3 linked regions of the Solanum lycopersicum genome follow. The protein of the gene in region 3 interacts with the protein of the main gene of each other region in a pairwise test. Links are inferred from orthologs where the notes say so. Each region holds a gene or a part of one and is shown on either strand. Other genes may lie near its edges.

Region 1 (3,757 bases), on a different chromosome or scaffold from region 3:
TCGTAGCGGCAGCTTGCAGGTGTAAGGGGAGAAGGAGAACCTGCGAAATCGCAATCCACAAGTTAATTAAGACCATATAAACCAGTGCAACCAAGACAGTACAGACCGTTTTCTATAAATAACGTTTAGATAGATGCGGAGGGAAATAAAATTTGAACATTTACTCGTGTCCAGTTACAATCAAGACATAAAAAATTAGACACAAGCCTCACCAGCATTATAGACAGGAGTTTGAGGTCCAGATTTATTATTTTTTGTGGCTCTTGACCGTCCATGTGCTCTTCCTCCTTTTCCAGACACAGGCGTTCCAAGAGGACTATTGGCCACATCTGCATACCCGGAATTAGCAGTCCAGTCACTGGACTCAACCTCTTTAATATAGCCTGTCTTCCGCTTTAGTGCCTACAGGCGCATTAAGTGTGCAAAGTAGAAATAAGTGATCAACAAGTAAAACATAGCAAACTGAGGAACAATTACGACTAAACTCTGAATTTTCCCTGGGATAAATTAGAGTATATAGAATTAAAAAATTCTTGACTTGGGCACACAATTATCAAACTATAAACAACAAGGGTGGACAGCAGTGTAAGAAGGCTCCCTCTGTGCAGGCTCCAGGGAAGGTGACTGTAGACAGATAACTTCCTTATGGAGAGGCTGGTTCCAAGACATAAGCACTAAACCTTTCACACCTAAAATAATATACCTATAGAAGGAAAGCCATAACTAACAGAGCTTCAGTTTAATTTAGTGCTAACTAATTAGAGAACACAAACAAGTCCCAATTGTTACTTAAACAAAGGAATTAATTCTGAAGATGAACAAACAATAAAAATCCTCCCACTCAATCTTCTCTAGCTATCAATAGGACTCAAAACATGAATGACACCAATAATATCCACATACAAAAAGAAAATGGCATTCAGGTTTCATGAGGTTTATAAGATCAACAAAGCTACATTACATGTTCAACTATGTAACCAAATTGGTTGTCACGTGTGCAAACATGAATGACAGAACAGCATAAATCACAACCAACTCACTTTGACTCATTTACTCCTTTTTACCAAATTTAGCCAGCAGTATCTGGATGTTTCAGCTAACAAGAGGCAAATGACCTCCGGGGAAATTAGAAATGAAAAACCAAAGGCAGCTTAACATCTTAACCCAACAAAAGCCAATTAGCTACATACCAAATACCATCCATTAGCTTAACAAACCCAATACCAGGTTCCAACCACAATAATTAGCCTCAAAAGTTATTCACACATTGAAATACAAATATTGCAGATCAACAAAATCGCAAGTACCACAAAATGCACAAAACAGCAACAACTTAACTCGAAATTACACCTTTTTAACGACATATAATCAAACCCCACAATATATCTTTCTTCAAAATATCTTATTCATGTCTCTACTAATCAATCCCAGTTATAATCTGAAGTTCCATTTCAAAAGGCAAGACACACTACCAAAGTCCAACATCAATCCCAATTAAAAGCATCCATAAACGACAATCTTAGTTCAAACAAGAATGCTAGTAACCACAAAATGCACAAAAACAGCAACAATTGAACTCAAAATTACACCTTTTTAGCTACGTTTAATCAAACCCCACAAGATATTCCTTTGAAATCTCTAATTCACGTCTCCACTACTCTATCCCACCTCTAATTTAAAGTTCCCATATTTCAAAATGCAAAACTCACTAATAAAATCAAACAGCAATCCTCAACAACTACACTATTAGCTCAAACAAGAATGCAAGTAAACACAAAATGCACAGAAACAGCAACAATTGAACTCAAAATTACATCTTTTTAGCTACATTTAATCAAACCTAACAAAATATCCTCCTTCGAAATCTCTAATTTACGTCTCCACTCCTTAATCTCACCTCTAATCTAAAGTTCCCATATTTCAAAACGTAAACCCACTATTAGAATCAAACAGCAATCCCCAACAACTACACTATAAGCTCAAACAAGAATGCTATTTACTGCAAAATGCACAAAAACAGCAACAATTCAACTCAAAATTACATCTTTTTAGCTACATTTAATCAAACCCCACAAGATATATTTCTTCAAAACATCTAATTTCAAGTCTCAACTACTTAATCTAAAGTTCCCATATTTCAAAACACAAAAACCCACTACACAAAATCAAACAGCAATCCCCATAAAAAAACAACACTAATAACTCAAACAAGAATCCAACAAACTCACAGGTGACTTAACCACAATAGCTTCAGGCTGCAAACTAGCAGACCCAATTCTAGAATCAACACCAGGTATAGAAAATCGGTGGTAATCCTCAGGTGTAACAAAAGGTGGCCTCATAGAAGCAAAGGGTAAGTATCTTTTGATCGGATGAGAGATCTGACTCCTCCCTCCACCGTTTACAACGGCGGATGATGACTGAGCAGTGGGTGGCGCCGCCCCACCAGTGGATGCACTAGAACCTGTCATTTTTTCCCTAGTTTTGTAATCAAAAGATATACCCTTTGAACTCAAGATTTTTGGATTGTTGAAGAGAAGGGTTCTGAGGGGATGGGGTGGGGGTGGGGTAGGGGTAAAGGGGGTAGGGGGTAAGGGGGGGGGGTAGGGGGTAAGGGTTTCTCTGTGAAAGGCAAAAAGGAGAAAACGAGGGAAGGGAGGGAATTTTGGTTTTTGTATATATGTGGAGGGAAGAGAAAATGTTAATGTTTTGTTTTTATTCATTTTGGTCCATATGAATACTTATTATTTGCAATTTGACCCTTCTATTGGTAAAAAATTTACTATTTTATTTTTATTTTTTTTGGGCGATCAAATGACGGAAGTCAAAAATTAGGGTAGAAAGTTACGTCGAAGAAACATGATTCTAGTAGGTAGGGGTGGCGTTCGCCATTCGTCGTTTGGCTCTTTGGTTTGCAGTTTTGAAAAAGTGTGGAGTGAATACCAAACCAAACTTAGTTCGATTCGGTTCGTTTTTTTCAATTAAAAATGATTTTTTCGATGAGAATGAAGAATAAATGAGGGTAAAATAAAAAAAAAGGTGTGAGATATATAAGAAAATTTAAAACTATGTTAAGTGATTGATGTTTCTCGTCAATATGGAACAGTTATTGTACTTAAATATTGTGTCACGCCGCTGCTCGAGGAAGACAAGGACGAAGATGAGTTTTTTACGTAATGTATATCGATAAAAATATGTTTGAATTTCTCTATTTTTCAATATTTATGTTCACCCTAATAATAGGAGCAACTTTTTTTGTTTGCAGTTTTGAAAAAGTGTGCGCTGAATACCGAACCAAACTAGTTCAATTCAGTTTGTTTTTTTTCAATTTGTTTTTAAAAATGAATTTTTCGATGAGAATGAAGAATATAAAACGAGGGTAAAATTAAAAAAGTGTGAGATATTTAAGAATCTTTAAAACTATGCTAAATGATGACGTGTCTCGTCAATATGGAACAGTTATTGTACTTAATTATTGCGTCACTCTGCTGCGCGAGGAGGACAAGGATGAAAATGAGTTTCTTACGTAACGTACATTGATAAAACTACGTTTAAATTCCTCTATTTTTCAATATTTATGCCCATCCTAATAGTAGGAGCAACTTTTCTACTCCCATCTTATACTAATCACTACTATTAATCCTATATTTTCTTATAATCTTATTATTTTTGTTTTAGATACTTCTCTTTTTTGCATTTTTATTATCGTAGATTCTACAAAAAATATTTTTCTTTAGTTGAGTGTTTATCCGAAACC
Region 2 (3,757 bases), on a different chromosome or scaffold from region 3:
ATTATATATTTAGTATATAATATTATAAAATTTAAATATTTGCAATTATATAGTACCTTATTCCATTTTATGGTCCTGTCGACAATTTCATAGAAAGCAATGCTGTGAGTATCCGATCCCCAACGACCTTTTTGGCTATCTTATCTCGAGCTGTGAGCTATCATAGAAATCACCATATTTGTGTCCGTGTCCATTTGTTAATAACCTATAAATTATCTTAAATTATTCTTAGTCTTTAGTCGTTTGGAGTGAATAATAATTTATATTATTTAAATACATGCGATTAAGGTATCGTCTTATTTATATTGTTAATTGTTATTAATTATATTGTAATGTTATTTTTTTAACGAAATAAATTCATTATATATAAATTTATGGGTACTCCTAATCATTTTTAGAATTGAAGGATATAAATCATATGTGTTGAAATAATCAAGTATTTTACGGAAAATTTGGGGTCAAACACATGGTGAAACTTCATCCAAATCTAATTTACCAAGAATATTCGAGAATTTAGGATCAAACGCTAGCTTAATTTGTTGTTTAGTCTGTAAGTTTGAGATAACTTATCTCCGGATTAATAATTAATATCGGATGAAATTATCCTTCCTCTTGGGTGATATAATAATCTCGGGATAAAATAGGTGATGATAGAAATATCCCTTTAAACCCTTTCTATATATTACTTTTCACATTCATTGAAGATATTTTTCTTATAATTTATATAATGCATATTATTTTGAATATAACATATCAAACACTCAATAAATATAATCTCATTATATCTTCTTTCGTCATGATTTATCTCATCATAGCTTAAATTTAAACAAAAACAATTTCTTTTTCCACATTTTTTAAAAGTTATATTTATATTTAAACACAACTTCAATATCGTAAAAAAATATTTTTAATTATTTTCTTCAAAATTTACATTTTTAGATCGAAATGCCTACTTACTTAAAATTAAATCTAAGTAATCGTTTGATTAAGAAGAAGTTATTCCGTATGAACTAAGTTATGTTGTGTAAAATTTGTTATTCTATATATTATCTTACCATGACTCTAAAGTTAAAAATTCATGTGGACCGGACATATAAGTTGAAGAAATAATAAGTAGCTAAAGTCAAACGGACGAAGACGCCTCACTAATCGAGATGAGAAAGAAAGCAAAGAAGAAGAAAACAAAAGTTTCCATCATTTCAGCCAACACCTACACTTAACTTGCCAGAGAAAGGTACCTATCTCCACTGCTCATAAAAAAAAAAAAAAAAAAAGCCCAACTCTCTTCATTCCATAACTATAAAATATTTTTTTATTATATGTTCACAATATCAACATTTTTGCAATATACATAGAAAAATCTAGACTCGTAGCACTAATAGCCGCAATAATAATTGTTGGGGAAAAAGAGGAAAAGATAGCTCATGGATTACAAAATGTTTTTTTATATGATATGATTAATAAGTTTTCAACAACTTCGGTACTTTATGTCGTCAATAAATTCCATTTTTCTTAGCCTCTTTCTCATTGTCAATACTGAAATTGCATATAAATCCAAAATGCAACCAGTCAAGTGTTTATAAACAAGTATAGTAGAGTTGCCCTAGGTGAAGAACGTGTTGTTTGTGTTGCATTGTGGTTATTTGATTGAGAAAATTAAACCACAGAATCCCAATGCTGGCTGTCTAAATCTTTTCATCGCTATATGTTTGGATTCAGGTAGCTGATTTTACTAACCCGATCCCAGTATATGATGGAGATGAAACATTTCATAGAGTTTGAGAATCTATTTCATAGTAAACATGGCCAAGGCTTTACCTGTGAGTGGTGAGAACTGCACCGGTGTGAACGTCGTCGGTGATAGTAGTGGTGAGAAGACAAGCAAGCAACTTTTCCACTGTGAAAACGGAAAAATGGTTAGGAAGAGAGCGGCGTCTGACATGGAGATCCAGACCGGCGCCGGTGAAGAGCATAGATATTTACGCCGGCCTGCTATGATAGGGGGGTCTCATTCTCAGGTTGGTGATTCAAGGGTTTGTGGTAATAGTAATTTTGGTCATGGTATGAACAGTAATTTGACAACGACGATGACGATGACGACTCAGGTTTCTAACTACTCCACTATGCAAATGTTACCTTCTTCCACGAACTTGTGCGGTGTGACGTCAAGAGGAGGGCCTGGGATTGATACCGGATTTTCTAATTCAACCCCAAACCTAACTTACACAGACGCCATAACATCGCATCATCAGCCACAAGGTACTCAAACCCAGAACAACAACAGTCAATCCCCATCTGTTTGTGTTTTCTCCGGTCTGCCGCTTTTTCCTCCAGATAGAAACCGCCAAAACAGTGGTTTACTACTGCAACAACCTCCTGCTGCTGCAGCAGCTGTTGTATCTTCACCTCTTACAACTGGAAGAATCGATTCCATGGAGGATAGTACGTCGGCAACGGCATGGATTGACAGTATTATAAAGGATTTAATCAACAGCTCCGCACAAGTATCGGTGCCCCAACTCATACAGAATGTAAGGGAGATTATTCACCCTTGCAATCCGTATCTCGCATCTCTTCTCGAGTACAGGCTTCGCTCTCTCACTAGTAATAATAATGGCGGTGCTGATCAAAATGACCCCATGGAGTGCTGGAGAAGAAAAGAATCGCTTCCGGCACAGCTCGCTGGTTTACAACAGGCCCAAAATAATGCCAATTTATTGCAGCACAATATTTTATCCCTTCCTGATTCCTCAAATAATCAATACTTAAACTGGGATATAGCTTTGCCAAACAGCCATAACGCTCCGGTAGCGCCTTCTCATAACCAGCACCAGCAGCTAGGCGGCAATAATCCTACTGCAACAGATCTTTCATTTGTTACACTTTCTCCTCAAGTGCAGCAGCAGCAACAACAACAACAACAAGAATCTCCCCATTCTCATTCTCAGCAACAGGCCGCAGTAGACTTAGATCAACAACAGAAGCAGCAGCAATCTTCTAGTTCTCTATCTCCAACATCGGTAGCCGACAATAGCGCCAAAACAAAAACTTCAACCCCAGCTCCACCAGTTCCGATCAACACGTACCGAGAAAAAAAGGAAGAAGAACGACAACAGAAGAGGGATGAAGAAGGATTACACCTTCTGACCTTGCTATTGCAATGTGCAGAAGCCGTATCCGCTGATAATTTAGAAGAGGCAAATAAAATGCTATTAGAAGTATCCGAACTCTCCACACCGTTCGGCACATCTGCACAGCGTGTTGCAGCATATTTCTCAGAAGCCATGTCAGCAAGGCTGTTGAATTCATGCTTAGGAATATACGCAGCCCTACCAATGACCAGCGTCCCCATGCTTTACACACAGAAAATGGCATCTGCTTTCCAGGTGTTTAACGGAATCAGCCCTTTCATCAAATTCTCACATTTCACAGCCAATCAAGCTATACAAGAAGCTTTCGAGAGAGAAGACCGGGTACACATAATCGACCTTGATATAATGCAAGGTCTTCAATGGCCCGGTCTTTTCCACATCTTGGCTTCCAGGCCCGGTGGACCTCCTTACGTTCGGCTCACGGGGCTTGGAACCTCGATGGATGCTCTTGAAGCAACCGGCAAACGACTATCCGATTTTGCCGAACGATTAGGCCTTCCTTTCGAGTTTTTACCAGTTGCTGATAAAGTTGGAAACTTAGACCCTGAGAAATTGAATGTGAGCAAAAGAGAAGCTGTAGCAGTTCATTGGTTGCAACATTCCCT
Region 3 (3,757 bases):
AACATTGCACACAAGTTAAACAGAGTCTATTATTAGCATGCCCAATACAACATACACACAACATAATAAACCAGACAGAATCCAAGGAATCAACTAAATAGAGTAGAAACTGACCAGCACAGAAACTAAACCATTTGTGCATGTCACAAGGTCCTTGAAGCGGCTGAATACATGTTCGCGAAGTGAAAGAAAAAGCAACCAGCCAAAACGATAATACTGTGGCAAGAGGACAATCGAATTAGAAGTAGCAGACTGATTTACTTCATTGTTATCACTTGACAAAAACAGCTCCTGATATGCGCGCTTGTAGTACCTAAAAGCAGTAAAATTGTTATCAGATGTACCACAAAAAGCCACATCCTGAGTATTAACGGAATGAGCATCACAAAGCAATATAAGTAGAGGAAATTAGTGCTTGAAAAGAGTACTCACTTGCTTAAAAGGCTCAAATGCACAAAGTTGGTCTGCAATTCCTTTGCCTAATACAACAGTTCAAATAAATTTTAAGTGCATGAATAAATGCTTAATAATAATATATAACTCCTCTGTCCTAATACATGTGGCACACTTTCCTTTTTAGTGTACAAAAAAGAATGTCACAGTCTATAATTGGAAACAACGGTGTCACCACCAACTGTGCCACATTGTTAGGACAAAGAGAGCCAATAGAAACAACAATAGCTGCAGAACATGAGATTAACCCTCCACGTCATCATTACCTGAAGTCTCTTCTCCCAATCTGAACCATATAGGTTGCTTAATACTGGACCAACTTTAACAATAAACTGTGGTAATTCTTTGAAGAAATCTAGAACACTAAAAAACGAAACAAAATTCATAAGAACAGAGATAAAATCACGACTTTTACAAGAAACACAAGAACATTAGATAAACGCACTTGAGTTTCGCCCCTCGCAGAATTTGGCATAGATCAAATCCATTTCCTTCATTCCCATTACTCGAATTCCTAGCTTCATTCTCACTTAATCTCTTCACCGAGAACAGAACAAACACAAACCAATACCGTTCAACTTCCTCCGGCTGTTAAAGAACACACTCAAGTCAATTCTAGTCCATATTAAAACCACCTAACTTGTCATTTCACACTAAATTAGCAAAAGATAGAATCATGAGGACTTACCGTTATAGCTCCAATAGCAGCATTATTTGACAGTAAAAGATGTTTACTGTCCATAAACAGCTTTCTAGCTTCTACCATAAAACTCTCACCCATCGACAATCCATTCTGTAAATCAAACAACAAATGTTAAAAAATACTAAAATCCAAAGTTTACCATATCAGTAACAGAACAAAATTTTTGCATCATGGGTCTTTGAGCTACAAGTAGAAAATGCAACACAAGAAACTCATTCTGTAAATCAAACAAATGAAAAAACTACTAAAATTCGCCTAAAAACAAAAAATTAAAATGGCAACACCCATAAAAGAAACCAGAAAAAGAACAAATTTTGCACACATGGGCCTCTTAGCTACGATTTCAAAATGCAGGAAACAAGAAACACATTCTGTAAATCAAACAACAAACGTAATAATCCCACCTAAAAAAAGTTAAAATCGTCATATCCATAAACAAAACCAGAAAAGAACAAAATTTGCATACATGGGTCTCGACGCTACAACTAAAAAAATGCAGAAAACAAGAAACTCATTCTGTAAATCAAACAACAAATGCTAAAAATACTAAAATCGCCAAACGCATAACAGAAACCGTTAAAGAACAAATATTTCACACATGGGGTTTCACAAAAATGATTTTTTTAAACAAATTAACCAACAAAACACAACAACGACCAAATCTTCCTTCTTTCTCAACTAAATCAAGCCCAAAAAAATCAGCTGAAAGTATTTACAACCTAAAATCAAACTCAACAAAACTAAGCGTACCTTGCAGAAATCAGTAAATCGAACTTCAAGAGAGTCCACCGAACCATTCTCTTCAGAATTCGAATGATTCTTCAGCTCCTCCATATTCATCCACAACTAACTAAAGAAACCCAAACCCAGAACCCAAAATTCTACAAATTTCTCAGATCTGTATAATTAGATCCAAATTCTTCAAAAACTAAAAAACCCCTAATTTTCCCTCGCCTTTCTCTCTCTATCTCTATGACCAATTTTGCTTCTTTTTTTTTTTTATTTGTTTGTTTGCTCTGTTTAGCTATAAACCCTAACTTTAGGGCGGGAAAATACATAAAGTGTATGTCATATGGTTTATGTCCATACATAGCCGACAACGTTGTAGGATTAGCCAATCAAAATTCGACACGTGTTTTGTCTGTTAGGTTTTTTACCGCCAAATTTCCGTCTTTAGCTTAACGAGTCTCCCGCGAGAAACTACTGTTTGTTAAAAAAATTAAAAAATGAAACGCCTGAATTATTATTTATTACCGAATTTTCGTTTTTTGGGTAAGTTATATTAATTTATTTTACCTAATATAATTGATGTTTTAGTGTGTAATATTAGTTGTTACTGTTTTCGTAATAGTTATTATATCATGATTTATCGTATTCGAGGTAAGAATCTTTTAAAAATAACTTTTCTATCTCCACGTATAGAATAAAATTTGTGTATACTTTATTCTCTCTGAATCCACGTGTGGAATCTCAATATTGTTGTTTGTTGTGTATTAATGAGATAATGAAATTATGAATTTATTAATTATGTGAAATTGCAAATGAAATTAATTAATTAATTTTTACAATTGCAAATGTAAAGGATATGTATCTAGGCCCATAAATAATCTGGATATTGACCAAATCCAGCCCAGGCCCATTAATAAGCATATTTAAGGAACATAGCACTTTGTTTTCTCCCTTTTAATATTTAAGGACCGATATTCGATGTCTTAACTTGACATAGCATTAAAACATTTGATGTTTCGATAATTACATTATTTTGTTATTATTATTATTTTCGTAGTAATTGTTATATCTGTTTCACTGTCGTTTTTCCTTTTCATGTACTCGAGTCGAGAGTCTTTTGAAAATAGTCTTACCAGCTTCACGTGGTAATGATAAAGTTTGCATATATTCTACTCCCAAAGCCCCCACGAGCATGATTTAAATATTGTTGTTGTATATTAATTATATATTAGTTAGTAAACGTAAAGGATATATATATATATATATATATATATATATATATATATGGAAAAATTACTGAAATACACGTCAATGTTTTTCTTATTTCCAATATCTCCTTCTATTTTAAAAAAAAACTCTAAAATTTCTTATTCCTTTAGTGTATCCAAGCTACATATTAATGTATCTGAATCAGTCTTTAATGTATCTGAGCTACATATTAATGAATCTGAGTCAGTCTTTAGTGTATCCGATTTATTTTATAATATATTCGGGCTAGTTTTTAATGTATTCGAGCTAAATGTTATGTATCTCAGATGGTTTTAAATGTATCTCGAGATATTCTTTAATGTGTCTGAGCTACATATTATGTATCCAACTTGTGTTATATATATATATATATATATATATATACCCATAAATGATCTGGCTTTTGGCCCAATCCAGCCCAGGCCCATTAATAAGTATACATGATATAGCACATTTTGTTTTTCTCCCTTAGTTGCGACAAAAGTGATTACTATTGAAACCTCATGACAATATCTTGTAGTTCCATCGATGGAAACTGACATCTTATAACAAAAGTTTGTCACGTTTCGAGCCTAAAATTTAAGGTGGAATTGACACTTGATATTTTAATTTGTTTGAGTAGAA

Evidence for each region.
Region 1: the proteins of RBR1 (region 3) and transcription factor E2FA interact in binary tests that used the Arabidopsis thaliana proteins (3 or more experiments, as listed by UniProt). The link is inferred for Solanum lycopersicum from reciprocal best matches to the Arabidopsis thaliana genes RBR1 and E2F3.
Region 2: the proteins of RBR1 (region 3) and 101255150 interact in binary tests that used the Arabidopsis thaliana proteins (3 or more experiments, as listed by UniProt). The link is inferred for Solanum lycopersicum from reciprocal best matches to the Arabidopsis thaliana genes RBR1 and SCR.

The regions. Positions count from the first base shown.
Region 1 is NC_090800.1:2,212,703-2,216,459, reverse strand, and holds the start of transcription factor E2FA, read right to left. Parts: upstream 2,684-3,757; 5' UTR 2,472-2,683; coding exon 2,229-2,471; intron 403-2,228; coding exon 213-402; intron 41-212; coding exon 1-40. UniProt on the Arabidopsis thaliana protein: Transcription activator that binds DNA cooperatively with DP proteins through the E2 recognition site, 5'-TTTC[CG]CGC-3' found in the promoter region of a number of genes whose products are involved in cell cycle regulation or in DNA replication.
Region 2 is NC_090809.1:57,241,744-57,245,500, reverse strand, and holds the start of 101255150 (protein SCARECROW), read left to right. Parts: upstream 1-1,088; 5' UTR 1,089-1,234; intron 1,235-1,288; exon of another isoform or gene 1,289-1,719; 5' UTR 1,720-1,802; coding exon 1,803-3,757. UniProt on the Arabidopsis thaliana protein: Transcription factor required for quiescent center cells specification and maintenance of surrounding stem cells, and for the asymmetric cell division involved in radial pattern formation in roots.
Region 3 is NC_090808.1:68,046,191-68,049,947, reverse strand, and holds the start of RBR1 (retinoblastoma-related protein 1), read right to left. Parts: upstream 2,137-3,757; 5' UTR 1,997-2,136; coding exon 1,907-1,996; intron 1,247-1,906; coding exon 1,142-1,246; intron 1,042-1,141; coding exon 899-1,041; intron 817-898; coding exon 720-816; intron 480-719; coding exon 433-479; intron 314-432; coding exon 115-313; intron 1-114. UniProt on the Arabidopsis thaliana protein: Key regulator of entry into cell division. Acts as a transcription repressor of E2F target genes, whose activity is required for progress from the G1 to the S phase of the cell cycle.